Linked DNA regions of Macaca mulatta. The protein of the gene in region 1 interacts with the protein of each later gene in a pairwise test. Links are inferred from orthologs where the notes say so. Each region holds a gene or a part of one and is shown in the gene's direction. Other genes may lie near its edges.

Region 1 (4,844 bases):
AAAATTAGCTGGGCATGGTGGCACGTGCCTGTAGTCCCAGCTACTCGGGAGGCTGAGGCAGGAGAATCGCTTGAACCTGGGAGGCGGAGGTGGCAGTGAGCTGAAATCATGCCACTGCACTCCAGCCTGGGTGACAGAGCTAGATTCTGTCTCAAAAAAAAAAAAAAAAAAAAATTTCATCTTTGTAACTTTAGCTTACTTCCTTGTAGACCTGATAAAAATCAGTCCAAGTGCAATGAGTTGAGAGTTGAGTTTCATTTGTTCTTCCCCAGAGTAGTATGTCCATCAGATGAATATAGAACTAGCAGGGGCTAAGTCCTTCCATATTCAGAAATTCTGTGAGAGGTGTGAGGAGACCTGGTAAATAATAACCTTTGTTTCGTGTTCAGGTTCAGAACCAATTGACAGGGTCGCAGGAGTAAAATAGATGGTTCTGGAAACCTCAGTTTCTTACTGACAGAAGTTAGAACAGATAAAAACGGCTTAAAGGCAGAGCTAAATAGGCTTGTACTGGCAGAGGAGGAATGTAGCAGATGTCCCTCTGCATAGGTCTTCTCAATGCAACTTGGGGCACCAAGGAGCATGGGATGTCTGCATCCTGCTCCTAAAGAGGACAGAGAGAGGGGTGTACCAAGGATACCCAGTTCTTTCTCCCAGGCTCAACAGTTAGTTCCATTCTGAGGAGTAAGAGGTAGAGAGAGGCTAGAAATGTTCAATCTAGCCAAAGTCCTTCCCATGGAAAAAAAGAGAAATAAGTATCTCCTCCCCACCCCAAGCCACGAAAGATTTAAGCTTCAGCAGATTTATCATGTGTGAGAGAATATGATTGAGGATTTTTATAACATGTTCTTTTTTTCTTTCCCAGAGAGTGTGCACCCCAGATTCCTTGTAGTACTCCTATCCCTGCTGAAAGGACAGTTACACATTTGAACACTCTGAAGGACCGTCACCCAGGTGATTTGTGGGCCCGGATGCACATCTCATCCTTGGAATATGCTGCAGGAGACATTACTCGAAAAGGGAGAAGAAAAGACAAAGCTCGAGTGAGTGAACTGCTCCAAGGTCTCTCATTCTCTGGTGACTCAGATGTGGAAAAAGATAATGAGCCTGAGATCCAGCCTGCTCAAAAGAAGTTAAAGGTGTCTTGTTTCCCAGAAAAGAGTTGGACCAAAAGAGACATTAAACCCAACTTTCCAAGCTGGTCAGCACTAGATTCTGGACTTTTGAATCTCAAGAGTGAAAAGTTGAATCCAGTAGAGCTTTTTGAATTATTTTTTGATGATGAAACATTCAACTTAATTGTCAATGAAACCAATAATTATGCTTCTCAGAAAAATGTCAGCTTGGAAGTCACAGTTCAGGAAATGAGGTGTGTGTTTGGTGTCCTACTTTTGAGTGGATTTATGAGGCATCCTAGAAGGGGAATGTATTGGGAAATCTCTGACACCAATCAGAACCTGGTTAGAGATGCAATCAGAAGGGACAGATTTGAATTGATTTTCTCAAATCTGCACTTTGCAGATAATGGCCACCTAGATCAAAAAGATAAGTTTACAAAGTTGAGACCTCTCATAAAACAAATGAATAAAAATTTCCTCTTGTATGCTCCCTTGGAAGAATACTATTGCTTTGATAAGTCAATGTGTGAATGCTTTGATAGTGACCAATTCCTGAATGGAAAGCCTGTTAGAATTGGATATAAAATTTGGTGTGGTACAACCACACAGGGTTATCTGGTTTGGTTTGAGCCCTATCAAGAACAATCAACTATGAAGATAGATGAGGATCCTGACCTTGGGTTAGGTGGAAATCTAGTAATGAACTTTGCTGATGTTCTTTTAGAGAGAGGTCAGTATCCCTATCACCTGTGTTTTGATAGCTTCTTTACCAGTATCAAATTGTTGTCAGCCTTGAAGAAGAAGGGGGTGAGGGCAACAGGAACAATTCGTGAGAACAGGACCGAAAAATGTCCCCTTATGAATGTAGAACATATGAAAAAAATGAAGAGAGGGTATTTTGATTTCCAAGTAGAAGAAAACAATGAGATAATTTTATGTCGTTGGTATGGGGATGGCATTATCAGTCTGTGCTCCAATGCTGTGGGCATAGAACCAGTCAATGAGATAAGTTATTGTGATGCTGATGATGAGGAAATCCCTCAGATAAGTCAACCATCCATAGTAAAAGTGTATGATGAATGCAAGGAAGGTGTAGCTAAAATGGATCAAATTATTTCAAAGTATCGGGTGAGGATAAGAAGCAAGAAATGGTACTCAATTTTGGTAAGCTACGTGATTGATGTAGCCATGAACAATGCATGGCAACTACACAGAGCCTGTAACCCAGGTGCTTCCCTAGACCCCTTGGATTTTCGGAGATTTGTTGCACATTTCTACTTGGAACACAATGCTGATCTGTCAGATTAAGGCACATAAAATGGACATAGTGCAGACATTAATAAGACATAGAAAAATAATTGTACATGCTGTTGTACCCTCCCGAAGTAAATCTGATATATGTAATGAAGTTATTAAATAATTAATACTTTTAAAAATCAGACATTTAGTTTCAAGGACTATTGTAACAATGTTAAAAATTATCTGTGAAAATGTTGAACTGTAGTACTTTTCTCTATGTCAAATTTTGTGTCAGACATGGGAAATCCTTTATTTGTTCAATTGACTATTTTGTGCGTTCATTTATTTATTTTTTGAGACACAGTCTCGCTCTGTGGCCAGGCTGGAGTGCAGTGGCACGATCTTGGCTCACTGCAACCTCCGACATCCTGGTTCAAGCAATTCTCCTGCCTCAGCCTCCCGAGTAGCTGGGATTACAGGCACGTGCTGCCATGTCCAGCTAACTTTTGTATTTTTAGTAGAGACGGGGTTTCACCATATTGGCCAGGATGGTCTTGATCTCCTGACCTCGTGATCTGCCCACCTTGGCCTCCCAAAGTGCTGGGATTACAGGCGTGAGCCACCATGCCCGGCTATTTTGTGCATTTAAAGAATGAAATCCTACCTCTTTAAAAAAATTCTCTGAAGACGGCCATTTTTAAGATGCAAGCAATGTCATAGTAACCATAGAATGATGCTGACTCCATAGTTCAAACTAGTGACACAGCTTATGAAGTAAGAATGGTCTAAACAAAACATAGGTGGTAGGAGACTAAAAACCTTAGCATTGGTGTAAAACTGGATTGGATTGTGTGTAAGTGAGAAGGGTCAGGCATGGATATTAAAGGAGAATGCTATAAAGGAAAAACCAGAGGTGAAGCAGTGCCTTCGAATATTGAAATGATAGGTGTATCCTGTGGTGATGGTGTGAGTTGGCAGCAGAAGTCAGGAGAGTAAAGAAAATCAAGGAAACATGAAGCAAATCAGGGTAATAAGTAACCGGGAGAGTTAAGGAAAAGATAGGCATAAAGTCAACGTAAAGACCATGTTGAAATCACCTGATCAGATATCTAGGCTTAAGGTCATCAGTGATAGGTAACTGAAGGAGAAACACTTGGAAAAGTGAATGATATGGACTGTGACTCCTTAGTGTTGAAGTCTAGTATTGGTGGATTAGTCTGGAGGGTAGAGAAGACAGGCTCCACCTCATTTCTGTGGGCTGTAGCCACAACAGCTCCTTGCCTTTCTTTCATATCCTAATATTTACAGTCCCTTTCCTGGCTGGAAGGCAAGTGGTCAGGTTTGAATTCTTTCAACAGGTGTGTTTATTATGTGGATGACTGGTGAAAGTGTAAGCCATGCGTAATGTCACAGATTCACCTATTCCATGCAAGATGTTCAAAGAAAATATAAGTTCATTACTTCCTGTAATTGATCTGATATTCTTTGTGAAATACATCACCAGGGTGGGTTGGTTTCTACTTTTAAATGATGAAGTGTCTGGTTAAGTACCTACCCACAAAAGGGTATTAATAGAGTGCAGGTTTTAGTTAAATGATGAGTGAGTGGTGCAGATAGTAATTGCTAATATAGGCAGGAAATAGTTACAGAATAACTTCTTATTTCACTTTCATGTCTGCCTTGATGTTTAGAGCCCTCTAGCCATCCCCACTTGGCAGTTATCAAAGGCTGCACTTTATATCTCCCACATTCTAAATCTGCTTTTCTCTTCTCCAGGGTTCCATAATTATGTAAATAATATTAATCATTGACCACCCAGGTATCAAACAAGACACCTAAATGTTACCTGTCACCCTCTTCTACCACTCATCTCTAATACCTCTTGAATCTATTCACACCATTCAACCTCTTTGCCATCATTCAGACCACAGTTCTGTGATGTTGCTTGACTGCTCACCAAACCCTTCCTTGACCCTCCCCCTCCCCAAACCTGTCTCCAAACAATGACTGTGAAAGTTCTGAAGAGCAAATCTGAGCATCAGCTATTCAGAAGATAGAAACAGTATGTTATGAAAAAGCATAAATAGTGGACTGTATGTGCGTCTTGGCACCAGAAAGTCTTTGAATTTCAGCCATGTAACCTTGGGCAGATTAACTCTCTGAGCCTAACCCACGCTCTCCATGGTGCTCAATATACCACTCTACAGTTGAGAAGTAAATGTGGAGCCCAAGGAAAATGGGGAGTGATACCCTAAGATGAGCAGAACCGGCCCATGCTGTACGCACCAGCACCTGCCCAGGAAGTGAAGTAAGCTGGAAGGAACCTGATTCCCTGAAGACTGGAATAGAGTCTTGAAAATTGCCTACGGCTGAGATTTACATGTGAGGGCAAAAACCTTCTATCTTGGTGAATTCATTGTTACTGGGGATGGGGTAGGTGTATTTGTTATTCCCAGCTGAACGTAATTCTAAGTGAGAATCACTGAT
Region 2 (6,648 bases), on another chromosome or scaffold:
ATTGCCTATGTGGTCTATGTGGATATGTGCAAGATTGTCAGGCCCTGGTATGAAGCTGCCCCCTCCATTCAGGTTGTCCAGAGGAACATGATGTTTTATCTTGACTAGACCTTTAAGATGGCAACAAGGGCCACCATTCAGAAAAAATCCCAGAGGACCTCAGAAGGATGGTGTTTCAAAGCAGGTGTTATTAGCGTCTGCCTTCAAAAGAGTAACTTAGTGAGGAAAACCTCACTGTGGTTTCCATGTAGTATTTTAGAAGGAATTAGGAATAGAATGGAGGCCAGGTACGGTGGCTCACACCTGCAATCCTAGCAATTTAGGAGGCCAAGGCAGGAGGGTCACTTGTGCCCAGGAGTTGGAGAGCAGTCCAGGAAACATAGGAAGACCTCATCTCTGAAAAACAAACAAACAAACAAACAAATTAGCTGGGCATGGTGGAGCACACCCGTTGTTTAAGGACTTGTCAAAAGTGTAAGTCCAGCCTTCCACAAGCATTTCAAGATAAATTATTACGACATAAAATGGAGGCCTTTAATTAGGAGAGTGAAGTGGTTTGATTTGTAATTTTAAATAATCGCATCAGCACCAGTTTTATGGTATAAAATGCCCAGTTACTCAGGAGGCTGAGGTGGGAGGATCACCGAGTCCGGGAGGTCGAAGCCACAGTAAGCCAAAATTGCACCATTGCCCTACATCCTGGGTGACAGAAACAAACAGAATATAATCACAGGAAAAGGGTTTTGTAAAACTTTGCAACATTTTTAACTTCCCCAAGGTTTCGTTTGAGATTTTTGTTTTCCAACACTAATTAGATGTAAAAACTCATAAAACAAAAATGACTTCAGCTAGCCTTTATGAATCAGAAAAGAGGGAAAAGTTGGGAAGAGCAGCCAAGCTGCTTGGGGGCCGTATCCAAGTAGCAGAGTGAAAAGGCTGGATTTCTGAAGCTTCCTGCAATGAAGAGAGAAGTGTTAGCACGGGTTGTGAGAAAGGCTCTGGTCGGAGTGAAAAGCAATGGTATACCATCAGCTGCTGGCTCACTTGCTGTCTTCATGCACGAACCCAGCAGAGCCTGACGGCACTTTGCAGAGGGCATTTTCCCGAATGAGGCAAAAAGTCAAAGCCTGAGGAACTTGAAATGCTTATGTTAGGTTGGATCTACACTTTTGACCAGTCCTTAAACAACAGGGCTCCTTTGTGTGGTGTCTGATGCCAATCATGTGACCTAACTAAAGGCAGCAATGTAACCATCCCACAATTCATTTATTTATTCAACAAACATTTATTGTGTTCTCTATTTACCAGGCAGTCAGCTTCCTGGGTCTAGGCTGGGATGCTGTGGTGAACAAGACAGTCAAGGTCCCTGCCCTTAAGGGACTTAAAGGCAAAACAAAACAAAAAACAAGTAAATAAATGAGATCACTTCCATTAATAATAGTGCCATGAAGGGTCATGTGTCATGAAAGGCTGGCGGTGAGGCTGAGGATCTTGGGCCACACGGAGCTGAAGAGCTGAGGTGACTGGGGGCGCCAGGGTCTGGGGGTGCGGGCAGGCAACAGACCATGGGGGACTTACAAGACATTATAAGGAGTTTTTATGTCATAAATTATTATGGCATAAATTGGAGGGCTTTAAATAGGGGAGTGAAGTGGTCTGATTTGTAATAAATGATTGCGTCAGCAGCTGTTTTATGGTATAAAATGCCCAGCTTGAAGATGACCATGCATTCTACAAATTCACCGTGACATCGTTGCCAAAACCCTTAACCTGTCTCATCTAGTTTTCCTGACAAATAGGTCAGAATAAAGCTCCGTGACATAACTAGTGGGAGCCAAAGATTTGAATCACGTCTTGGTTTCAAATCTTGCTACCCACAAATGAGTTGTGAGCTCTTGTCAAGTTACTTACTGTATTTGTGCCTCAACTATCTCAGCTGTGCAATGGGGATAATGAAAGTTCCTACATCATTTATTTGTGAAAAAATAAATGACATGTAAAGCACGACGAGAGCGCCTGGCACAGTGTAGTAAGCTTTCACAAATACTCGCTTTTATTCCTTCTTGCAGGGAATTACTTAGAGGATCCACAAGATAATGCACGTGAAAGGGCTTGCGAAACTGTAAGGACTATCTTAATGGTAGAGTCCTCTACTTTTCTTTTAAACGGTCCAGAGGACGCTAGGCTGTTCGAGGCGCGAGGCCAAGCGCAGCCTCAATGCGGTCATTGTCGTGGGGCCGCCCCTCCCCCGCCCGGGGAGCTTCTCCATGGCAACGTGGGCTTTACCTCTCCCCGCCTCCTCAGGCCCGCAGACCGGAAGCAGCCCGTGCCGGGGGCTTCTGGGAAAAGGCTTGTGAACGGTGTTTCTGCGTCTGCCGTGGACAGCGAAGCTGCTGCGGTTCCTGAGCCAGAGGTTTGCGCCGGTGTGCGGGGAACGTTATGGGAGGGAGGGGGACACCGGGCTAGGGTCTGCGGACCTCTTAGCAGGAGCCGGCGGGGAAGCCTTCCCGGGACCTTCCTCAGCTTCCCGGGAGGCGCGGGGAACAGGCCGCGCTCTCCGCGCCTAGCAGTTGTGGGGCGGGGAGAGGTAGGCGGCAGGCTTGCTTGGGTCTTCGGCGTCTGCAGAGTGCTCTCTAACCCCCGGTGTCCTCCGAGACCCTCACCTTCCCCCTCCCCCACCGGCCGGTTTTGTTCTATTTCGAGGCCCTGGCGTCTCGCGGAGGGTTCTGGGAGTCGTGTTGGGAGGAGGTGGTATGGGGCGAGACTTGCGCGGGGCTGTTGGGATTTGTAGTCCCACCGGCCGCAGGCGGAAGTGCCGTGGTTCCGACGCTGTTGTCACAGGGTGGTCTTTGGTCATGTGAAATCCGCCGTCCTGAGTGCTGGGAAGAGGGGCTAGAGGACTGGCCGGGATCGGGGTACACAGCAGGTCTATGCAGCAGTAAGGTGGGCGATCACCTGGAACGAGGTGCTCTGACCAAACATTGTCGGGACCGTTGGCCTTCCCTCCATTTCCCACAAGCAGTATGCTCTACAGCATGAAAGGAAGAGAAATATATGTAGAAATAGTTGCACCGTTGATAAGCAGGGTCTTGGAATAGGAACAAATCAATGTTGGCTAGACCTTATTTATAAGGCCACCACACTCCAGGGTATTTAATTAAACCAGTATGTATTACTTGTCTGATAAGGCCTTTTCTGATTCCAGTCTTCATCTTGCTTGGGTTACGATAAGTTTTTTTAAGTTGTTGTTCATAGGCTGCATGGCTCATTGCTAGTATGTGTCGTAAACAACAGCACGGGCATGATAGTGCAAATAATAAAGGTCCAGAAACAGCATACAGTTTCCCTGAAGGTAGAACTGGGGAAACTGTGAGTCATCCAGTGTAAGGACAAGACACTGGACCACTGCAAGAAGTTAAGGTGCTAATGCGAGTGCCTTTTCTTAATAGAATTTTCTGTGATTAATGCCTATCATTATAAATATAAATGTACGTATGGTGTGGTGGAAGACTGAATATTTACGTATTATGTGCAAGATAATTTTTCAAAATATGTGATCTGTTTTTCACATATGATCTTTTCAATATTATGTGATCTGTTACTCAGCAAGTGAACATTTTTTCCACATATATTTTAAGTCCAAGGAGTTCTTAAATACCTTATTTTTTAAGTGGTAAAATTTTTTTAAGCACATAAAATAAAGCAAACCTTCGTTTTGGTTGAAACAGGGTTTCACTATGTTGGCCAGGATAGTCTCGATCTCTTGACCTCGTGATCCGTCCGCCTCAGCCTCCCAAAGTGCTGGGATTACAGGTGTGAGCCACTGCGCCAGGCCCAGCTTTTTGCTATTTTTAAATTCATTTTTTAGAGACAGGGTCTCACTCTGTTGCCCAGGCTGGAATGCAGTGGTGCGATCATAGCTCAGTGGAGCCTTGAACTCCTGGTCTTTAGTGATCCTCCTGCCTCAGCCTCCTATAGTGCTGGGATTACAGATGTGAACCACTGCACCTAGCCAGTTTTTATTTTTTTTTCCTTTTGGAACTTTTTTTGTTAAAAACTAAGACAAACACATGCATTAGCTTAGGCTTACACAGGGTCTGGATTATCAATATCGTTGCCTTCTGCCTCCCTATCTTGTCCCACTGGAAGGTTTTCAGTAGCAGTAACGTGCATGGAGCTGTCATCTCTGTGATAACAGTGCCTTCTATAATAGCTCCTGAAGGACCTGCCTGAGGCCATTTTGCAGTTAACTTTTTTTTTAATAAGTAGAAGGAGCACACTCTAAAATGTATAGTATGAAAAGTATAGTAAATACATAAACAAGTAACATAGTCGTTTATTGTTGTTATCAAGTTTTATGTACCATACATAACTGTATGTGTTAAACTGGCAACACAACAGGTTTGTTTACACCACCATCACCACAAACATGTGAATAATGCATTAACCTTACAACAGCTACAGTGTCACTAGGTGAATCTTGAATTTTTCAGCTCCATTATAATCTTATGAGAGCACTGTCATCTATGTGGTCCTTCATTGACCCAAACATCATTTTTTTGTTTGTTTGTTTTTTTTTTGAGACTGAGTCTCACTCTGTCGCCCAGGCTGGAGTGCTGTGGCCGGATCTCAGCTCACTGCAAGCTCCGCCTCCCGGGTTCCCGCCATTCTCCTGCCTCAGCCTCCCAAGTAGCTGGGACTACAGGGGCCCGCCACCTCGCCCGGCTAGTTTTTTGTATTTTTTAGTAGAGACGGAGTTTCACCGTGTTAGCCAGGATGGTCTCGATCTCCTGACCTTGTGATCCGCCCGTCTCGGCCTCCCAAAGTGCTGGGATTACAGGCTTGAGCCACCGCGCCCGGCCTCCAAACATCATTTTGTAGTGCATGACTGTGTTGGGTTTTTTTAGGCCATCTAGTCTGTTGAAACTACTCAACTCTGCTATTGTAGCGTGAAGTATGAGTAAGTACAATTTTTTATGGACACATTCATGTTAATTTCGTATCATTTTCACTTGTCATGAGGTATTCATTTGACTTTGGGGAGCTCCATTCCCTAAATATCATTAGGTATTCATTTGATTTTAGAGAGCTCCATTCCCTAAGGCACTGTGGTGAAGACCACAGCCATTTAAAAATGTGAAAATTATTATTGGTGCAAGAGTTGTACAGCAATGGGTGACAGGCTAGATTTGGCCGCGAAGCTGTAGTTTGCCAATTCCTAGTGTAGGTTATTGACTGGAATTTTTAACTCCATCAAAGAACAAGTATCTTTTACTTTTACCAGTGTAAGTCCAAATTCTTAGGATATTTTTGCTTATTTATATATCTTTTATTTCTTGTGCCTCAGGAGTGCCTGTGAAGAAAACGGGGTATTGCCCTGAGGCTTATATTCTGCCTCAGTTGTATTTTCTTGAAATATTATAAATCAGAATGTCTGCACAGTCAGTGGAAGAAGATTCAATACTTATCATCCCAACTCCAGATGAAGAGGAAAAAATTCTGAGAGTGAAGTTGGAGGAGGATCCTGATGGCGAAGAGGGATCAAGTATCCCCTGGAACCATCTCCCAGACCCAGAGATTTTCCGACAGCGATTCAGGCAGTTTGGATACCAGGATTCACCTGGGCCCCGTGAGGCTGTGAGCCAGCTCCGAGAACTTTGCCGTCTGTGGCTCAGGCCAGAGACGCACACAAAAGAGCAAATCTTGGAGCTGGTAGTGCTGGAGCAGTTTGTTGCCATCCTACCCAAAGAGCTACAGACTTGGGTTCGAGATCATCATCCAGAGAATGGAGAGGAGGCAGTGACAGTGCTGGAGGATTTGGAGAGTGAACTTGATGACCCTGGACAACCGGTGAGCCTGCTTGTGTCATTTCCTGGGTCAGAAGCACTGGCATAGTAGTAGGCAAAGCTGCTGAATTAATTCCACTCAACTAAATTAGAATTAGGTTTATACCTTTTCCCCCATGCCCCTACCACTCCCTGTTATCTGTGCTTCTTTGCCATCTAGGCTTCTGCAATATTTGTTTTATGGGGTTTCTCTTACATGTTTTTAGTTCTGATTCTCATTACAGTTCCTTCTCTGAATCACATCTTTCTGTTTCCAGGTTTCTCTCCGTCGACGAAAACGGGAAGTACTAGTAGAAGACATGGTATCTCAAGAAGAAGCTCAGGGATTACCAAGTTCTGAGCTTGATGCTGTGGAGAACCAGCTCAAGTGGGCATCCTGGGAGCTCCATTCCCTAAGGCACTGTGGTGAGGACCAGAACTCTGTGTGGACTAGAGGGTGAAAGAGAGCGTAGGCCGTTTGTTCCGAACTTTGCTTGTTCTCACTGGTTGGGGGGATCATATCACTCTTAATCTAAGATCTCAGTTTTTTTCTGATTAAGTTGATTTTGCTGGCCTCAGATCTTTTATTCCTACACATTAACATCTTCAGCCTTTTCTTCCCTTTGAGTTTCCTTCCTAAAAAGAGTTGCCCATGTCAGGCTAGCATTTGCCTTACTTTGAGCCAGCACCCACCCGTGGACCAAGTCCCTCTATTTTACATTCAGTATTACTTGTCATCCATTTTCCATCCTTTTACTTTCAATCTCCTGCCTAATTCCATTGGTACAGTAAGCTTACCTGAAAACCTTTTCTCATCTCTCTG
Region 3 (6,669 bases), on another chromosome or scaffold:
GTGTGAATACATGTTATGAAAGAATGCATATATTTTTGATTTTTAATTCAATCTTTTAGATTTAATTTTATTAGTCATAATCTATATTGCATGCTGGCTTTCTAAAGATTATCTGTTAAATAGTTCTAATTTTGATTTATTTTGTTTTCTGTCTTATTGCTTTAGGCAGAGTTATATTTAGTGTTTAGAACAGTTTCATTGATTATAGTATACCGGAATTGAACTGAAGAAAACCACTAATTCCTGAAAGAAATAAATGTAAATGCAGGAAGACCTAGAAACTAGAAAAACAAAGTACATTGGATTGTTTTACAGTTTAGAAGTAAGGTTTTAAGTGTTCATTTATTTTGGTACATGTAAAATGAATGCAACAAGTTTTATTGTGAACGTACCAATTAATGTTATGTAAAAATAATAACATTTAAAAAATGTGTAAAAGTATATGGAATCACTAAATAACATGCATTAACCATAGCAAAATTGTTCCATAAATTTTATAATGCATAGTTCCGGGGGAAAATCAATTCCTTAGTTTTATAAAATAAAGTACATCATAAATCACATAAATTACCATTGGGTATTTAGCGTATTTGGATACATTTTCAAAATTCTTTATTTTAGAAGAAGGAACTGAAGGACGTAGCTGCTACTTTTTGGCAAAATATAACAGAAATAATATTTCTATACTCAATAAAGTTTTCAGAAACAAGTTACAATATTAATTTCATTATCCATCCTTAAGTTCTTATATTACGACTATGTGTTACCAAGGAAAATTTACCTATTAGGTAAAATTCAAAGTAAAATTTCCTACTTAATTTTAAATATTTGAAGTACCATGATAACTCATGTCACACGTGTGCAGAAGAATGGCAACTTTTAAAAGAATCGTCATGAATCTTAAAGTAAAATGTAAATACAATTTTGTTGTGTTGCTTAATATGAGTTCTATTCCGCTTAAAAAAAAATAGTCCTAATAAAAAAAAAATCTCTACCTTTACTCTTGAATGTCATTATATTTAAGCCAAAGAAGCAATAGATATACACACTCATCAAGTTTAAAGAACCTAGCCTACATTTAAAATCATTATAGTTGTGGAGCCTACAAGAGCTAGGTAGCTTACCTTTTCACATAATCAACCTCTTTATAATGTGTTACTGGATATTGAAACCTTCCATGAAATATTGGCATTAATATAACTTTTCTTCAGGAAAACTCAAGTATATTGCAAATATTAGATAAATACTATGTCATATATAGTTTTAAATGATTGTTTATATAAATTTTATGATAAACTTTATAATTTTTACCATTCTTGATATCATTAAATAAAGAGGCATCTTCTCAATATTGGATTTTATGGATGTGAACACTGAAGTAGCTGTTATAGGAAAGCTAAGGATTTTTTTTTCCTGTTTTTACTACATTTTAAAAATTTCTCTAAAACCTAGAACATAAAATTCAATATTCTATCTTATTCCAAATATTTGAATAAATTAATATTTAAAAATCTTTATGTAATGATTAATACATATTTAGAAATCCAGAGAAAATTAAAGTCCTATTTAATTCTGGAATTTACCAAGACCTCCTTTTTAGTCCTTCATTTTTTTCCTTTCAAATATTTTCCTTATGTTGTGTTTTCTATAAGAAAACTGGACTTCATAATTTTTGTTGATATTAAATGTTTTGTGTCTCCAATTAAAAAGACCTGTCTTACTACCTTTGCTTTCATTGCATGCCTTTGCAATGACTTCCTCCTTTTCTAACCTTTCCTAAATTTTTCTTCTAGAAAAAGTTCTAGAGCCTGACTGACTGGGGCAGGTTGTAGAGAAACTTCTGGACAGATTGTTAACATCTGACACAATGAGTGAGAAAAAATCCAGCACAGTCACTGGGCAGGTTTAAGAAGAAGTGGCAGCTCTGGGAGATGAAAGATTTGTGTGTTCTTGTTGCTAGTTACCTGCAACACTCTGGTTAAATTCAAATCCATTCATTTGGTAATTGCTTAGCTTCCTCTAAACCAATGTAATGCAAACCAAAAGGACCATTGTGGATGTTTTGGACTGATGTCTGCAGATCATGTGTAATTTTAGTCTGTCTTGTCTGACATTTTCCACAATGCTTTAGTTGACAGCATTGTATTATGTAAATATTTCTGGTTAGGCTTATTGAGGTGGTTGCCTAAATCTCACTTTAAATAAAGCCTTTAATGCTTTCACCTAGAATCCATAGAGAAGCTACACAAGTTGGGGAAGTTTAGTGTTGCTCTTTGTACTTTAACTTTTAATATCAGAGCACATATTGAAACCATAAACACAATGAAAATACAAAAAATATTCCGACGATATTAGAGGACTATAACTCCCCCACCTCTTTTTATTCTTAAAGAGCCAAGGGCGTGGGGAGTGGCAGGAAGAAATATTCTTAAGATCTAAGTCCTGGACGCCATCCTGCTAGTGCTTAAAGCCCCTAGAAACGTGCAACCTGAACAACACCCCCTTTCGAAGTCTAAAACAATATTAGATTCCCAAAGTATCGGCAAAGAAATTCTTACCGTCAAAGACTTGCAGCAGGTTTCAGCTCAGACCCAGACTGAAAAGCTGAGCAGCTGGTGAACAAAAGTTTTAGTTTTTTTTTTTTTTTTAAACGAAGTCTGCAAAACTAATTTCCCTCAAAATAGAGCTCAATTTCCGTTAAAGAAAGCAGCGCTTACAAATCTCAGAATTCCTGATCAACCCCCACTCCACCCCACCTCTAAGCAATAGAAAACAATTCGATCTTTCACACGGATGTTTTTGAGAAGCCACTATTCTACAGCATGACTTACAAGAAAAGAAGATAGTGAGGCTTAAGCAGGGGGACTGGAAGAGGAGGGGGAAGGTTCTGCTTTGGGGACACCTCTCAAAGATTAATCAATACTTTTTCCTAATTCAAACCAGATGTCTAGCCCAGTTTGCTGTACCCATTAATCCCACTAACAACTTCAAAGACCTGCTCATCATCCTCTGGACACCTGAGACAATGAAAATAACGGGGCGACACTGCTGGTGGTGCATTTGGGGCCCCGGGCGGAATAGGTGACTACAGATATTCTCCTGATGCGACAGGTCCCAGATGGGACTTGACTGTTTCTCCTGCTCATTACAGAGCCACTCACTTGTGTGTAAACGACTCTGCCCCCAGCGGACCCTGTCACCCGCCAAACAAGTGGCAGTCTCAAAGCCCTGCCATCGTTCTTGCATGCTTACTGGAGGCAAATTTTCTAATTTATTTTCAGGGATGCAAAGTTATAGCCAAGTGCCCAAGCTTAGTGAATTTTGGGAGCTATCGAAATGTAAGATTTCTCAGTAAATGGGACGGTGGTGATAAGGGATGCGATTAGCGGATTTATTTTTGAGCGGAAGAGAGTGGATTTCTGTAGGAAACTGCGGAGACCTAGGCTAGCTCCTGAGGGGAAAGGCTAGATATGTGCGTGCAATCTACACATCTCATGTGACCGGGACAAAATCGCCTGGAAATATTTTTGACCCAGGAAAATTTCTTCTTGGTGGACAAGTGGCTAGGAAATTGAGCGGGACCAGGAAAGAGGGGGAAGGGAGACTCCACCTGGCATCGCACAAGAGGATGCCAGGGAACAGGCATCTGCAACCCTTTCAGACTCACGCCTTCCTCCCACCCACCCTACCGGGTCCCTCTTGGTTCCGCACTGAGAACTGCCTTTTCCAGGCCATGGTACTCATCCCCACAACCTCAGATCTGGCGTCCCAGCCCATTAACAATCCACCCACAGAAACCAGCTGTGAAAACCTAGGCGCGCTGCGGCGCCCAGGGCACTGGAAGATGCGAAGTTTGAAAAACTTCGAGGATGCGCCTAACTAGCTCTGATCTTTTCGTTTAACCCTATTACTTCTTTTGGGTTCCTGAAAGGCTAGGCATATCCCTAGCTTTTCTGCAGGTGACAGTTCACAAATGACACTGACAAATCACGTTTCCCGGAGAGGAAAGTGAGTAGGTAGGAATCAGGGTGCTGGGTTGGGGGTGGTGTGCGCCGCGCCCAGGCCTCCAGAGTCTGGAGGGCAGAGCTGCTGCCCTCCCGGGCGGGACTTAGGCACTGGCGTGCCGCTTGTAGCCCTGGCAGCCGGCAGTGCTGGGCGGGCGTGGACGCTCTGCGTCTGTCCAGCAGGCGATAGGAAGTGGAACTGGGGAGCGCGTGGCGCAAACTGAGCGGGAGTTTTGGAGGGAGTTTGCATGTGGTCAACTCTGGGCTCCTAAGCCGGCCCCCAGCTCACGTTACACTCTATTTATAACCTCTCAGAGCCATTTCCCCCTGAAAGCAGTTCTCTGGGACCACCTTCTTTTGGCTTCAACCTCTCCCACTCTTGACATCTGAGTAGTTCAGGGAAGCTCTTCCAGGTCCGACTGTTCATATGCAAAGGAGACTGGCCGCTGGGGCTCAGAACCGGGATTATCCGAGCTCTGCAGAAGTGCACGGCTATTGCTTTGGGAGGGTAAAAAAAAAATCATACAGTTTCCAGTGAAAAGTGACAGAGGGTGGTGGCCTTTGGAACCGTCCTGAAGTCTTCTGCCTGGAACCTGAAACTTGCATGCTATGGAACACCCGCTCTTTGGCTGCCTGCGCAGCCCTCACGCCACGGCGCAAGGCTTGCACCCGTTCTCCCAATCTTCTCTCGCCCTCCATGGAAGATCTGACCATATGTCTTACCCCGAGCTCTCTACTTCTTCCTCATCTTGCATAATCGCGGGATACCCCAACGAAGAAGGCATGTTTGCCAGCCAGCATCACAGGGGGCACCACCACCACCACCACCACCACCATCACCATCATCAGCAGCAGCAGCACCAGGCTCTGCAAACCAACTGGCACCTCCCGCAGATGTCTTCCCCACCGAGTGCGGCTCGACACAGCCTCTGCCTCCAGCCCGACTCCGGAGGGCCCCCAGAGTTGGGGAGCAGCCCTCCGGTCCTGTGTTCCAACTCTTCCAGCTTGGGCTCCAGCACCCCGACTGGGGCCGCGTGCGCGCCGGGGGACTACGGCCGCCAGGCACTGTCACCTGCGGAGGCGGAGAAGCGAAGCGGTGGCAAGAGGAAAAGCGACAGCTCAGGTAAGGGCTCACCAGGCACCCTCGAGAGTGCGCGCCGGCCTGGAAAGGGGGCGGAGAGATGCCAGGGGAGATTCTCGCACTACAGGGTGGCAGCGGGGAATATGGGAATGTGTTGCCCTTTGTGGCTTCCCGCGGCCAAATTCGGCGGTGAAGCTTTGGTCCTGATATTTGGGGGACACGTGTTTATCCGAGAGCAATGCATATACAGCCAGCAGCTCTAAGCTCTCCAAGGTCCTAAACTAGTTTACCAGAAGGTTGATAAAAAAGGACAAGTGGCTGTGAAATCGATTGCGAAGCGTGACCTTCCATCCCAGCGCTGGGGAGGGAGGGGCGTGCGCCCAGAGATGCAGCGTCGGTTGGGCAGGCGTGCGTGCGGGTGCCGCTTCTTGACTTTTCTCTTGCAAGTTCCCGACTGTGAGTGGCTCGATTTTTCCCATCGTTAACTGGATTTCCAAATCATTGCACAATATTTGGAACTTGCAGTGGAACTTGGCAGAGCGCATGAGAAAAAAAAAAGTTTTAGTTTTTTTTTTTTTTTCTAACATTCTTATTTCAGCGTTCTTTAAATAGCACCCTATTTTAAATGGTAAAATTTTCCCTTTATTGGGGAAAAAGACATTATCTAGGAATTCAGATTTTAAGGAATGTGTCAGAGAATTGTAAATAAATAGATGCTCACATTGGAAGAAAGACGAACCTTAATAGTACATGTTCATGTGGTGTAAGCTAATTACAGAATCAACGTTTCAAAAGTGGAAAACAAATCCCTCTACCAAGTGGGTATTAGTAGAGACAAATACAGCGAAGCAACAGTAGCTCGGGTAGTGTTAGTTAGCTACGTGCCTGAAGGTGGTATGTAAGGGTGCGCGTCGGAGGCGCTGATTTTAGTGGGGGATAATTTGAGCAGCCACGGAAAAGGGAAACCTTTCTGACCTCTGGTACTTGAAGACACACTTGCCGAGTAACTTTTCTGTAGCAATCCAGAGAAACTCAAAGTTTTCCAGACCACTTTTCAAAGCTCTTACCTACCTGTATTATCATAAAATTGTTAAAAGATACTTTAAAATTAAGAGACTTGTGAGTTTTCTTTCGTGGCTATAGTGCAACCTGGATTGCATATTTTTGGAAGATATCATTTGTTTAATATAATATTTGCATATTTTTCTTCCTCTGCGGAATTGGGTTAATAATAGTCCTAGAAGGTAATCCCATATGTTGGTTTGAAGTATTGGAAAAATGTTTATCGTGTATAAAGCTTTAGGTAAGATGCCACCTAAATGAAAATGATTGACCGCATATTTAATATTCCTTCACCCTTCACAGCAATATCAATTGTTATTCAGCAATCCTATGGGATGGATTCTTCTGTCATGGTCTCAAAAGCTAACTTTTATTTTCCAAGGTCAGGGGGTGAACTTTTAATGTTCTGTCACAAATTAGTTTTTATAAGAAAATTACCAGTAGTGTCACTGATATTTAATGTACTTTCCTAACTATAAGTGAAAGTCTCTTTAGATAGTGAGTTGAATGGTTAATCATAGC
Region 4 (6,732 bases), on another chromosome or scaffold:
GCAACCCCCAAGACCCCCAGTATTCCCAATAAACATACCAGCTGAGCAAAGCTAGGGTAAGCACCTTGGATGTACAGCTTTAAGACAAGGTCCCAAGTCCTCCAAGTCCTCCTGTATGGAAATGGTAGATCTGCCACGATGTGCCAGACTCCATGCTTTATGTCTGCTATCAAAGAGACACTCTCATGGCAACCCTGTGAGATAGGTTTCTTATCTTTGTGTTTGAGGTGAGAAAACTGAAGCCCAGAGAGGGCAAGTAACTTCCCTGAAGCCACACAGCTGCTAAGAGATAGAGCCTCTTGTGGGAAATCACATTCCTAGGGCAGAGCAGGGAGGAGAACTAACTCTGAGTGCCTGCTGTGTACGAGGCACCTCCACAGCTGTTCAGTCCTCTGACAACCAGTGTCCATCCCAGACCTCTAGAGACTGCTTCTTCCACCATCTCACGCCACCTCCACATGCCACCCTAAGTGTGCGTGTTCTGGCATTCCACATTTTAGAATATGTTTTATTTGATTATAAATAGGAGAATATATAATAAAGACAAGTTATGCTGAAAGTATTTATGGAAAGGAGAGACCTCTGTGGGCTGGAAGCCTTCATGGAAAAACTGGTAACTGAGCCCTTTTTTTCCCTTCCTGTCTAAATAAATGTATTTCTCCCACACAGGCAAATATTTTAAAATGTATTTCAAAAGTTAGACTTCTGGAAAAAGAAAGGAAAAGAGGGGGTGGGGTAGCTGCTCCTCTAAGAAGCCCATCGGAAAGGAGCTGCTGGGGTAGGAAAGAGGAGGACACAGGGTGAGTGAGGAAAAGCCTGTCCCTTTCCCCCACCCTGACACCTTGCCATTTTTGAAGCCTCAGTTTCTTTATCTGTAAATTGACCTAATACTTGAACCTGGGAGAGAAATGTACAGGTTCTTGGGAGGTGATTTTGAGACAAACCAGAGGTTCTTGGGATCATTATGAAGAATGAGAGAAAGGGAATTCCGAGTTTCACCAAGAGTTTAGGATTGGTCCAGCAAAGGATTTCTGGGGGTGGGCAGCGGGGTGGAGAGAGGAATGCAGCCCCTGGAATGAGGGCTGAGTGGAGGTGTGGGGCCTCTTTTGGAGAATTTTGAGCACAGAAGAGATTCTTTGCTGCGTGGGGCCTGGCCTGGGTGCTGGAGATTGTATAGCATGCTCATAATTTAAGGTGGCTCCAAAAGGGAGCAGTGACTAGTGGCTGGCACAGCAGAGCACATGACTGCATCCTCCCTAATGGGTGTTCCCCAATGACCTTGCCTGTATGGAGGTATAGGAACAGAGATGGTAACCCCAAACCCCACCCACCCAGCCAGCCCCAACACCATTGCTCCAACCTTGAGCTGGCCTTCCTGACCAGCCTTTCCTGAGTGGGCAGCTGATGGGGGAGAAGGATTTGCTCAGGACAGGATGATTCTCCCATTTCCAAAGAAGGCTCCAGTCACATGGGAGAGAGAAACCTTCCAAGTGCCTGCACCCCCAGGAAGATTCTTACCGTGGAAGCCTGGGCCTGGAGACTCCGGTCAGAGGAGGGTGGGCCTTCCAGGGCTTCCTGGCCACGGTGGTGGGTCTCTGAGTGCATTAAACACTCCTGTGGATTGGGGAGAGCAGGGAGAACTAACCCTCAGGGTCTACTGTGTACAAGGCACCTCCACAGCTGTTATCATCCTGACAGCCAGATAGGGTGGATAATCTGATCATATCATCTTTGTTTTAGAGATGATGAAGCTGAGGCTCAGAGAGGTCAAGTGACTGCCCTAGGTCACACAGCGGTATGGGAGCAGCCAGGTCAGTGAATCCATCATCTGGGCTTTGCCGGGGCCTGCACCACCACCTCGGGCAGTGCCCTCTTCAGGAGGAAGTCCTATTTTTCTGTAAGCTGCCTTCTCGTGTGGAAGCTGGGTACTCTACTACCTGGGTTCCTTGCCCTTGGGATGGCATGAATGCCAAGCGATGCAGGCAGGGCGCCCGCAGACTCAAAAGGCCAGGCCCTGCCTTCGCCAGTAGCCGAATCGCTGTGTGACTTTCGGCCGCCACCGAGTCTCTCTGGGCCTCTCTCTTTCCACCTCTTCCTGGGGAAGCCCCGGGTAAGTTTATTTATAACCTAGCCCCAGGTGCGCCGCCTCGGGAGGTGTGAGCGAGGCCTCGGCACCTTCACCTGAGAACCAGCTCCCCGGCTCTGGCCGCTGGTTGTGTAACCGGGTGTGCGGAGTAGGGGGAGCCGCGGGGCGGGGCGCTCGCGGCTATTCCGGGCGCAGCTATTTTTAGCCCCATTGATGAGGCTGCGTCGGCCGCCGCCGCCGGGATTCCGGAGACGTCAATGGGCACGCGTCACGGTCCCCGCCCCGCCCGCCGGGGGAGGCGCGCCGGGGCTGGGACAGCGCGCGGGCGGCCGCGGGCGCGGGGGCGGGGGGCGCGGCGAGGCCGGAACTGCGGGCGGGGGGCTTCCTGGGGGCGGGGGGCGCCGAGCGGCGGCGGCGCGGCTGCAAGAGCGCGAGGCGGCGGCGGCGGCGGAACTGGCGGGGTCCCAGCGCGGCGCCCGCGACCCCCGGCCTCCAGGCATGGGCGCCCCTGCGGCGCAGAGCAGCTCAGGGCCTGCTGGTGCGCGACCCCGGAAAGCAGGAGTGGAGAAGCTAGAGGAGCCCGCGGGGCCAGGTGAGGGGCTGCCGGTGTGGCGGGAGGTGGGCCCCAGAAAGGCTGGGCAATCTCGGGTCTTTAGTGGATGCCTTGGGGCGGGCTCAGGGCCACGCCGGAGTCCCGCTTGGAAACTGGGGAGTCGGGGGAGGGACTGGATTCCCAGCGGAACTTGCTGGCTCAGAGTCAGTCCCCAAGGGCGACGGCCAAGGCTTTCTCTCCCCAGCCCGCCAAGGGTGGGGTTTGGCCCACGAGGGGCGCTGGAGGTGGCCAGGCCGGAGAAATTCCTTCCATTTCCCCGCCGGCTGCGGGAACCGGTTCCAGGAGCGCGGGAGCTTCCAGGAGTCTACCAGGAGACCCAGCCGGGAGGGACGGATGCTGCGCGATGCAACCCCTTCACGGGACTGAGTCAAGAAACCAAAGCTAGGGGTCTCGTGGAATCAGGCGGAGCTGGGGATTAGGACTTGGGGCTTGTGTCTCCCAGGCGTGTTTTTTTGGTGGTTGTTTTGTTTTTTTGCCGCAACATCTTCCCTCCTTGTATTGGGAGGGGTGGGGGCGCGGTATTTCCAGACCTCCTTACCATGGTGGTCTGTGTTGAGGACAGGACACAGTTCCCTGACTTGGCTCATTCCCCTCCACAACCTACCCCCCCCCCTTTTTTTTTTTGAAATGAAGTCTCGCTCTGTTGCCCAGGCTGGAGTGCAGTGGCGTGATCTCGGCTCACTGCAACCTCCATCTCCCGGGTTCAAGTGAGTCTCCTGCCTCAGCCTCCCCAGTAGCTGGGACTACAGGCGCCCGCCACCACGCCTGGCTAATTTTTGTATTTTTAGTAGAGACAGGGTTTCACCATATTGGCTAGACTGGTCTCGAACTGCTGACCTTGTGATCCGCCCGCCTCGGCCTCCCAAAGTGCTGAGATTACAGGCGTGAGCCACCGCGCCTGGCAGGCTCATATCGTTTTTATGCCTTCGTTTTTGATAGATGACCTGGTGGATAGGGGAAACGCTACAGAGGTGGTTTACAGTGAATTGTTAATTTGGATGTGGGGCTAGTATTAGCGGCACATTGGGAAAACGCAGGCTGAGCAGAGGTCGGTTTCACAACAGTTATGCCCAGTGGGTGCTGATGGATTTGGGGGCTGTTGTCAGCCTGGCCTGGAGCCCTAGTGGTGGGGCTACAAGACTTGCTCCTAGACCTACTCCAAGTGAACGTTTAAGATCGGTGACTTGGATGAAGACTTAAAAAGGAAGTCAGCCGACTCCTTGTAGTCATGCAGAGCTGTGAGGAATGACAAGTGCACAGTATAAAATCAAGATTCTAATTGAAGGCAACTGGGCAGAAGGATGGGCTGAGATTAACAATGTGAATGTGACTGACGAGGCCTGTGCTGAGGCCTCTGCTGGACTTAAGAAAGTCAGCTGAGGAGTTCAGGCCCTGTGCCTGGCTCAAAGGCCCAGGAACCCAGGCCCTTAGCTTCTGACATGTTCCCTGGACGGAGGCTGTGGGACTGCTCTGTGCAGTGTGAAGCCTCCATCCACTACACAGGTCCAAGTGGGCGGTAGGGGGAGCAAGAATGCCTGATTCTGGACTCCTTGGTTAGGCTCCCTGGGTTCTAATCTCAGTTTTGCCAATTCCTAGCTGTGTGACCTTCGGCAAGTTGCTTAACATTTCTTTCTGGGCCTTAGTTTCCTCATTGGTAAAATGTTTATAATAATAATCCCTTCTTCATAGCATTGTGAGGCTGAAATGAGAAAATGCATGTAAAGTGCTTAATGTATCTGGCACATGTTGTTTAACAAATATTAGCGGCTGTTGTTATTGCTAATAGTAGTAATATTCCCATTTCTGGGTAGGGATATTGGCCAATGTAGAGCTTGTACTCAGGAGGCCACCAGGGCCTGTCAGGCAGAGGGCCTGTCAGTGGTGTCCTGTTGCAAGGAGCAGTTTAGTTAAGAAAAGACTAAAATACTTGCTAGGAAGGACTAGAATGAGGCTTCCTGTGGGCCAGTGCAGGGGACAGAGCAGGGATCCAGGGACTTTTAGAGTCAGGGATGTGATTCAACATAAGGAAGAACGCTCTGGCTCTTGGATCTGCCCCCAAATGGAAGGGACAGCTCTTGAGCTGGAATGCTGTCCCCACCTAGCTGACCTTCCTCCCAGCACAGCTCCAATGCAGGCATGTGCACCCCCCACCTTTCCACGCACACTTACTGAGCACCTGCCAGTGCTGAGCAGAGTTTAGAGACTGCAGATTCTGCAGTGATTCTGATGGACAGCATCCTTACATTCTGGTTGGGTAGACAGGTAATAAACCAGTGAACAGATGTGAACATTAGACCTCTGATGAATAAAAATCAGGCTAGTGTGGTGGGGTGGGGGTACAAGCTGTTCAGGGAGGTGACATGGGAATGGAAACCTGGTTGATCAGGAAGAGCCAGTTCTGGGCAGAGGGAACGGTGGATGCAGAGGCCCTGAGTGGGGAGAGAAGGCCCATGTGACGGGACCACAGCGAGTGGCTGGGAAATGAGGTTGGTGGGGAGCAGGAACTGGGGACTGAAATCTGGCCTGATGGTCCACCCCATTTTGGGGGTCACTTTCTCCGCCAAGCCCACTCAGCCTTTGGTTTGCCCTCTGCCCAGTGCAGATTGTCCTTGACCTTGGTTCATCCCTTATCAGATCCTGGGGCTCTGGGATCTTGGTGTGCTCATTCTTGGCTCTCCTGTGGTTCGGGGCACGCTGCCTAGCTTCCAGGGGGTCCTCAGTAAATGCTTGTGGTGTGACTATTGAGGGGGGCATTTTGATCTGGAGCAGGCAGGGAAACAGATACCTGCTTGAAGATGCTAAAATCATTTGTGGGCACCACCAGGTGCCAGACTCTGGCCCCTGTTCTGAGAACCAGATGGGGAAGAGCTGGGTGCTCAGGTTGGGCCTGATTATGGTAGGTGGTATTTGGCCCTCCCTACCCTTCCTTCTCAGCAGTGGGCTGGTAGGGAGAAAAGACAAGGCTGGGGGAAATTATAGACCAGTTTCCAGGGGATGGGAGGATGACACTGTCATCCTGGAAAGCAGGTGTAGTCCATGGGCTGGGGCAGATTGGAAGCCTCGTCTTGCTTTCTGTTTAGGGTTAAAGATGCTCCAGATGTTCCAGTCTGCCCTCCCTTCCCTCCTTCTCTCCTGTGGCCTTTTCCTGCTCCCCATCATACCCACAGGATCGGGAGGGAGGGGTGCTGGTAATGTCGTAAGGGGAGAGCCTGGGTACTGTGGGCCAGAGGTCCTCCCCTTGGCCTGTAGACCTTGGGCAGAGGTCAGGAGGACGAGGAAGCCCATTGCCCACCCTCTGGGGTCCTCCTCCTCTTTGTCCCTCCTAGCTCCCATCATCTCCTTCTCTTTTCCCAGACCTCATCGGTCTTAAGGGCAGTCCAATAGCCAGTGAAGGCCTGGTCCTGCCCTCACTCTGGAGCGTAGTCGAGAGGAGAGAGCACTGGAGTGGGTGGAGGAAGAGAAGGAGAGATGTGGGTCAAGGTACTCTAGCTGAACGGGGTTAGGGGAGAGCTGAAGAGGCTGGGGTGTGGGGTGAGGCACATAGTTGGCTTCCACCCTGGAAGGAGAGGCCAGGTGCCCAGGGTGCCTTGGACTAGGAACCAGGGTCTGTGGCTAGCTTTTATGTGTGTGTCCTCATTGAACTTCTCCTAATAATGACATGTAGCAGATATGTGTATCTAGCACTGTCCTAAGTCTTTTACACATTAACTTTTTTTAGCTGGGCGCAGTGGCTCACGCCTGTAATCCCAGCACTTTGGGAGGCCGAGGTGGGCAGATCACGAGGTCAGGAGATTGAGACCATCCTGGCTAATACGGTGAAACCCCATCTCTACTAAAAATACAAAAAATTAGCCGGGCGAGGTGGCGGGCGCCTGTAGTCCCAGCTACTCGGAGGCTGAGGCAGGAGAATGGTGTGAACCCGGGAGGCGGAGCTTGCAGTGAGCCAAGATGGTGCCACCGCACTCCAGCCTGGGCGACAAAGCGAGACTCCGTCTCAAAAAAAAAAAAAAAAAACTGTTTTAAAAGCCTGCTG
Region 5 (6,003 bases), on another chromosome or scaffold:
CAGGAATATTTGTCAGCCTATGTTGATAAGAGCGAGCCAGCCTGTTTAGGAGAGAAGATAAAGGTTTTGCCATTGAAACTGAGGCTGGGAGCTAGTCCAAGAAAATGGAAAAATGACCCCAAAAGCAATTCAGAAATCATCAGAGCTGTTCCGCCCATCACAGGCCCAGAGCACAAGACCCGCAGCAAGCAGGGGACCATAGCAGAGAGCCCCGCTTCAGTCACCCCTGAAGCCCTAGATGGTAGGGCCATCAGCAAAGTTCCAGCCCAAGAGAGCCTTGGACCTCTGAAGGAGACACAGAGCTGCCACAGAGGTGGAGCTGCCACAGAGGTGGGGCCACCACAGAGAACCCCCTTGAGGGCAGGCCCTCACTAGGGGCTGCCATGGGGCAGGACCACCCAGGGCCTTGGGGGCTCAACTCCTGCCCAGTGAAGGTGCCACCTGTGGGTTTGGAAGGTGGGGTCACCTCCCAACACAGTGGGCCTAGGGAGCACGGTATCAAGACAAAAAGGATTATTCTCGAGATTAATCTCAGGCCGTAAACCATAATGTGCTGTGACCTGTAGGTTTAGGACTTGCTTGGGACCTGTTACTCCTTTTCTTTTTTTCTATTTCCCTTTTTTGGAATTGGAATGTTTATCCTGTGCCATTCCACCTCTGTGTGTGTGGGGGGGGGTTCTTTTTTTTTTGAGACGGAGTCTCACCCTATTGCCCAGGGTGGAGTGCAGTGGCACGATCTCAGCTCACTGCACTCCACCTGCCAGGTTCAAATGATTCTCCTGCCTCAGCCTCCCAAGTAGCTGGGATTACAGGCACCCACCACCACGCCGGGCTACTTTTTGTATTTTTGGTAGGGATGAGGTTTCACCATGTTGGCCAGGCTGGTCTCAAACTCCTGACCTCAGGTGATCTGCCCGCCTTGGCCTCCCAAGGTGCTGAGATGACAGGTGTGAGCCACCACGCTGGCATCACCACTATATTTTGAAGGCACATAACTTGTTTCATTTCACAGGTTCACAGCTGGAGAAAATTTTGTCTCAGGTAGAATTGTGCCTTGAGTCTGAACCGTAACTGATTTAGATAATATTTAAATGAGATGTTGGACTTTGGACTTTTGAATTGATGCTGGAATGAATTAAGACTTTGGGGGTTATTGGGATGGAATGAATTTGTTTGGCATGTGAAAAGGATATGAATTTGGGGGGAACCGGGGCAGAATGCAATGGTTTCAGTGTTTGTATCTCCCCAAAATTTGTGTTGAAATTGTAATCCCCAAGATGATGGTATTAGGAAGTGGTGCCTTTTGGGGAGATGATCTGGTAACAAGGGCACAGTCCTCATGAGTGGGATTAGTCCCTCCTAAAAGAGGCCCCGGAGAACTCCCTTGCCCTCTCCATCTTGTGAGGACACAGAGGATGCCTGTGTTTGAACCAAGAAGTGGGCCCTCACCAGGCACCCAGCCTGCTAGTGCCTTGATCTTGGATGTCCAGCCTCCAGAACTGTGAGGAACAGATTTCTGTTGTGTAGAAGCTGCCTGTCCTACAGCATTGAGTTATCACAGCCTCAATGGACTAAGACTGAGACACCTAGCTCGTCCCGGACTGAGGCATCCCTGTTCTACTGTGCTTTCAGAATCGGGTTTCTCCGTTCAAGGACATGATTTTATGCTTCTCTGAAGAGGATTGGTCCCTTCTAGATCCTGCCCAGACTGGCTTCTATGGAGAGTTCATCATTGGGGAGGATTGCGGGGTCTCAATTCCTCCAAGTAAGACTTAACTTTCCCCCGTACCTCAAGACCAGGGAACTGGGCAGGGGGTTCTCACTTGGAGTAAGAGTCAACTTCGTCCCATAAGATCAGGGAAGCGGGGCCTGCATCATATTTCTCTGTTCACCCCCAACCTGGATGGGAAGTCATTTGCACACAGCGGCCCTATAGGCAGTGTGTCCGACTGATCACCTGCCATCTCACCTCATCAGGCTTATCAGAACCAAATAGAACATGTGCTGTATGTCCATTTCTCTTCCATCGCTCTTACCCTTTCGTCCCTTTACTTCTGCTTTACACCCAAAAGCCTCAGAGAGACCCCCAAGCCCATAGCTCTCCCTGCGTGTGCTGCCCCCACTGCCCCTGCGCTGCCGGCTCTGGCGTTTTCACTTCTCGCCCCTGATGGTGCCACGCCCGCTGGGCATCCCTCCACCTTTTCTCTTCTGGACCAGCCCTGGTTGCTGCAGGATCAGATTACTAATAAACATGTATCCTGCCTTTTTCTTTGAACAGATGAGCTAGCGGCCCAGCCGGATCTCTCCCAGAGAGAGGAGAATGAGCCTCGCGTTCCAGAGCCGCAGGATCTGCAGGGGAAAGAAGTGCCCCAGGTCTCCTACTTGGGTGAGTAGTGATTCCGGAACTGAGTGGACAGAGTAGGGTGAAGGGTTGCTGGCAGCCAGAGATGAACCCATTTGCTGGCTTCTCTCTGCAGCCCCTACTTGCCTTCTTCATTTCCCCAGACTCTATGTGGGTCTTGCATGTCTTGCCTTGTCCCTGACTTTTCATAGAAAGAATGGGGGATCTTAATTTTGCCAGGCATTGGGATTGTACTCCCTCAGCCAAGGACTGGGAAATAATAGGAATGTCTGTCTCCTCTGCCTGTAAGTAACATCTGGTTTGTGCTGACCATACAGCGGCCCCTCCAGGAGTGAGGTCAGATACTCACGACAAGCCTGGTTGCAGAGGGAGTGTCTCCTCCTAACTGGGCACCGAGCACAGCCCTTTGAGGTGCCTCACCTGTCTAGTCTTCCATCTGCCTGGTGCAGGGGTGCTGTGAGGACACTGGGGTGTGGGGAGGTGCTGGGGCTCAGCAGCAGCAGTTTCCAGCCCTCCTTCAGGCTGTGTCACCAGCGCTTGCACCCATGATCTCCATGCCATGGTGCTTCGAGGCACCTGCTCCTTCAGGAGGAAATTTGACAGAATCAGCAGCAGCTCCACACCTCCTTCCCCTTTGGGACCTAGAGCGTGAAGCAGACAAGGTTTTGACACACCATCCCCACCTGGAACAAGCGTTCAGAGACGGCGTAGCACAGTAGCTCCTGTCCCATCTCTACCCCGTAGGCTCTGCACAAGCTGTTTGTGCAGGATGTGTGCAGAGTGTGCAGAAGCCTGTGGTGATGACTACGGAAAACCCACCACAGAAAGTGGGAATAAATGCGGGGCTCGGGGAGGTACTTGTCTCTGCCATAGAGTAAGTAGAGTAGAACCCGGATCTGCGTAGACTCTGTCTAGCTTCAGAGCTCATGTTTGTGGAGTTGGCCCATTCTGCCTTCAAGTTCATTCGCTCAGCAGACACTTCCTGAGTGGCCGCCCCCTGCCAGTCCCCAGGAGGGAGCCCAGGGCCGCCCCCAGATCATAGCCTGGCATCTGTTCAGATAGCACCCTTCCAGGTAGTGCTGTAGGTGCAAGACAAATCAATTTTTCCGTTTCCTCCTCTGGAAAGACTCTCCAAGTCTCCAGCCATTCCAAGTAGAAGAAAGGAGGAAACGTGAGGAGCTGCAGGTGCCGGGGTTCCAGGCCTGCCCACAGACGGTGGTGCCTCAAAACACCTACCCAGGTAAAGAAGGGCCAGGGAGGTGTGGGGTGTGTGCCTGTGTGTCTGTGTGTTCACGTGTGTATCTGGTGTGTCGCATGAATGTATGTGTGCACGTGTGGATGGGGGATGGTGGTGTGGAATGCATGTGTGCGTGCATACACACGGTGTGTGTGGTGTGCTGCATGTGTGCGTGTGTGCGTTCCCAGGTGCACCTGTGTGTTGGGGGCATGTGGGTGTGTGATGGAAATGTGTGGTGGTGAGGGCATGGGACAGTTAGGAATTGAACTTCTTAGGATCTCCGCTGACCGCTGCGGTGGTGTTCTTACCTGCTTGCCCAGATTCCTCTGTGCTGTGGTCATTCTCCAGCTCACTCCCAGTCCCAGGCTCACCCTCCTTGCCTTTTCTGGGGACCAGGGAGGGTGTGTCAAAGCAGGGTGCTGCTGTAGTGCTGTTGGTGATGTGCGAATGTTTTTCTTCTCTCAGCATGGATGACCAACATCCTGGCACAGGGTCTTGGAATTGGGATTAAAGAGCAGGTTTCTAGTGTACTGAAGCTGCACAGGACTCTTGGAAAGTGTATGTTCCATTCCTGCTTTCAGAGAAATAGCCACAGTGTAGACTCTGAGTCGTCTTGGTAAAAGTCACCACCTCCAGAAGCAGAGGCTGCAATGCTGCCGTCTTTCATAAGTTCTAAATATCAAACCCAAGCCTCTGATTCTTACCGGAACCCACGTGTCACTGTAGTTTTCTGCAGCTATGGAGACCGACTCACACGCATTATGTGTTCTACCTGTGATGCTTTTGAAGGCAAGATTTGTGCCATTTTGACCCAGCTCCATGCATCTTGTACTTGGCCCCCTTTCATGCATGGACAAAGGGGCTTTTCTAGTGTGGGAGATCTGAAAGGATGAGATCCTGCTCCACAAGCATGGATGCCCACCCCTGGTTTTCTAAGAAGCCCACCTCTGCATGCCAAGGGTGATGCATTCATTTGGGGTCCACGTGGAGTTCAAGCGCAGGCTTGATGTTTGTGATGCACTTTGAATCTTCTCCAGCTTCTTTCTGCCCATAGCATGTCTCTCAGCCCTATTAATATACTTTTAGAAGATGGATGGATGTTCATTTGTACACAGGAGTTTTCAACTCCGTTCTTCCCTTGTTGGACTCTGACACAGACTGCTCTGAAACAGTCAGAAGCCAAGGGTTGCTACTGAGAAGGGAGAGATGATAGATTTCAAAGAGTGGGCACTGTTTTTATTTTGGTAGCTCCTGCCAGCTTGCCTTCCTAAAAGGCTTTTCCCGCCAGCTGATGCCGGATAGCTGGTGACAGGTCTGCTTCTCTATATCCACGCCCACACAGGACACTCCCAGATGTTGCTTACCCTCTGGTGTTTTGGGCAGACTTCTAGCAGTCTCATCTGCTTTCTCCAAGGAATTTTCTTCATATTGTTGTGTTGATAGCACATAATAGGACTATCCTTGATTTATTTCCCCTTTTGTAGAAATTATGCATCGAATTTTGGTCATTTTAGCTGATTTGAGGTGATGTTGTCCACTGTGAGCTATATTACTCTGTTAGGGCTTTCATAACAAGTACCACAGACTAGGTGGCCTAAACAACAGAATTTTATTTTCTCACTATTGCAGAGGCAACTAATAGAAGATCAAGGTGTCAGCAGAGCTGGTTTCTTCTGAGGCCTCTCTCCTTGGCTTGGAGATGGCCACTGCCTTGCTGTGTACTCACGTGGTCTTACCTCTGTGTTTGTCAGTGTCCTGATCTTCTCTCATAAAGACACCAGTCATATTGGACTGTGGAGCCCACCCACCCATATGTCCTCATGTTAACTTAATTACATCTTGAAAGAGCCTATCTTCAAATACAGTCACATTCTGAGGTCCTTTGGGGTTAGGACTTCAACATGAAATTTTGGGAGAACACAATTCATCCCCTGTAAGACCTCACCCTCAGGACCTTCAAAATCCATGTCTCTCCCACATGCAAAATCCATTCACCTCATCCCAACAGCCCCCAAATTCTCAGCCTATTTCAGCATCAACTGTAAGTCCAAAATCTCCTCTAAATATCAACGTCTCAAATGGGTATGGGTTAGACTTGAAGTATGATTCATCCTGAGGCAAAATCCTCTCCAGCTATGAACTGTGAAGCCAGATGTTTTCTGCTTCCAAAGTACAACTGTGAGAACAGCATAGCATAGACCATTCTCGTTCCAAAAGAAAAATCCAAGAGAAGAAAGGGTAATGGGTCCCAAGCAAGTCTTAAATCTAGCAGGTCAGGGCTAGGTGTGTATTACGTGCCTGTAATCCCAGCACTTTGGGAGGCTGAGGCGGGCGGATCACCTGAGGTCAGGAGTTCGAGACCACCCTGGCCAACACGGGGAAACCCTTTCTCTACTAAAAATAC

Evidence for each region.
Region 2: the proteins of PGBD1 (region 1) and ZNF24 interact in binary tests that used the Homo sapiens proteins (3 or more experiments, as listed by UniProt). The two-hybrid records come from large-scale screens. The link is inferred for Macaca mulatta from reciprocal best matches to the Homo sapiens genes PGBD1 and ZNF24.
Region 3: the proteins of PGBD1 (region 1) and MEOX2 interact in binary tests that used the Homo sapiens proteins (3 or more experiments, as listed by UniProt). The two-hybrid records come from large-scale screens. The link is inferred for Macaca mulatta from reciprocal best matches to the Homo sapiens genes PGBD1 and MEOX2.
Region 4: the proteins of PGBD1 (region 1) and NR4A1 interact in binary tests that used the Homo sapiens proteins (3 or more experiments, as listed by UniProt). The two-hybrid records come from large-scale screens. The link is inferred for Macaca mulatta from reciprocal best matches to the Homo sapiens genes PGBD1 and NR4A1.
Region 5: the proteins of PGBD1 (region 1) and ZNF496 interact in binary tests that used the Homo sapiens proteins (3 or more experiments, as listed by UniProt). The two-hybrid records come from large-scale screens. The link is inferred for Macaca mulatta from reciprocal best matches to the Homo sapiens genes PGBD1 and ZNF496.

What each region holds. Positions count from the first base shown.
Region 1 is NC_133409.1:155,042,147-155,046,990, reverse strand, and holds the end of PGBD1 (piggyBac transposable element-derived protein 1), read left to right. Parts: intron 1-865; coding exon 866-2,426; 3' UTR 2,427-2,641; downstream 2,642-4,844.
Region 2 is NC_133423.1:57,126,827-57,133,474, forward strand, and holds the start of ZNF24 (zinc finger protein 24), read left to right. Parts: upstream 1-2,339; 5' UTR 2,340-2,413; exon of another isoform or gene 2,414-2,423; intron 2,424-5,347; 5' UTR 5,348-5,430; coding exon 5,431-5,850; intron 5,851-6,103; coding exon 6,104-6,251; intron 6,252-6,648. UniProt on the Homo sapiens protein: Transcription factor required for myelination of differentiated oligodendrocytes. Required for the conversion of oligodendrocytes from the premyelinating to the myelinating state.
Region 3 is NC_133408.1:112,579,157-112,585,825, forward strand, and holds the start of MEOX2 (homeobox protein MOX-2), read left to right. Parts: upstream 1-2,638; 5' UTR 2,639-4,613; coding exon 4,614-5,127; intron 5,128-6,669. UniProt on the Homo sapiens protein: Mesodermal transcription factor that plays a key role in somitogenesis and somitogenesis and limb muscle differentiation. Required during limb development for normal appendicular muscle formation and for the normal regulation of myogenic genes.
Region 4 is NC_133416.1:59,216,474-59,223,205, forward strand, and holds the start of NR4A1 (nuclear receptor subfamily 4immunitygroup A member 1), read left to right. Parts: upstream 1-2,490; 5' UTR 2,491-2,584; coding exon 2,585-2,678; intron 2,679-6,732. UniProt on the Homo sapiens protein: Orphan nuclear receptor. Binds the NGFI-B response element (NBRE) 5'-AAAGGTCA-3'. Binds 9-cis-retinoic acid outside of its ligand-binding (NR LBD) domain.
Region 5 is NC_133406.1:1,728,455-1,734,457, forward strand, and holds part of ZNF496 (zinc finger protein 496), read left to right. Parts: intron 1-1,632; coding exon 1,633-1,765; intron 1,766-2,278; coding exon 2,279-2,386; intron 2,387-3,488; coding exon 3,489-3,602; intron 3,603-6,003. UniProt on the Homo sapiens protein: DNA-binding transcription factor that can both act as an activator and a repressor.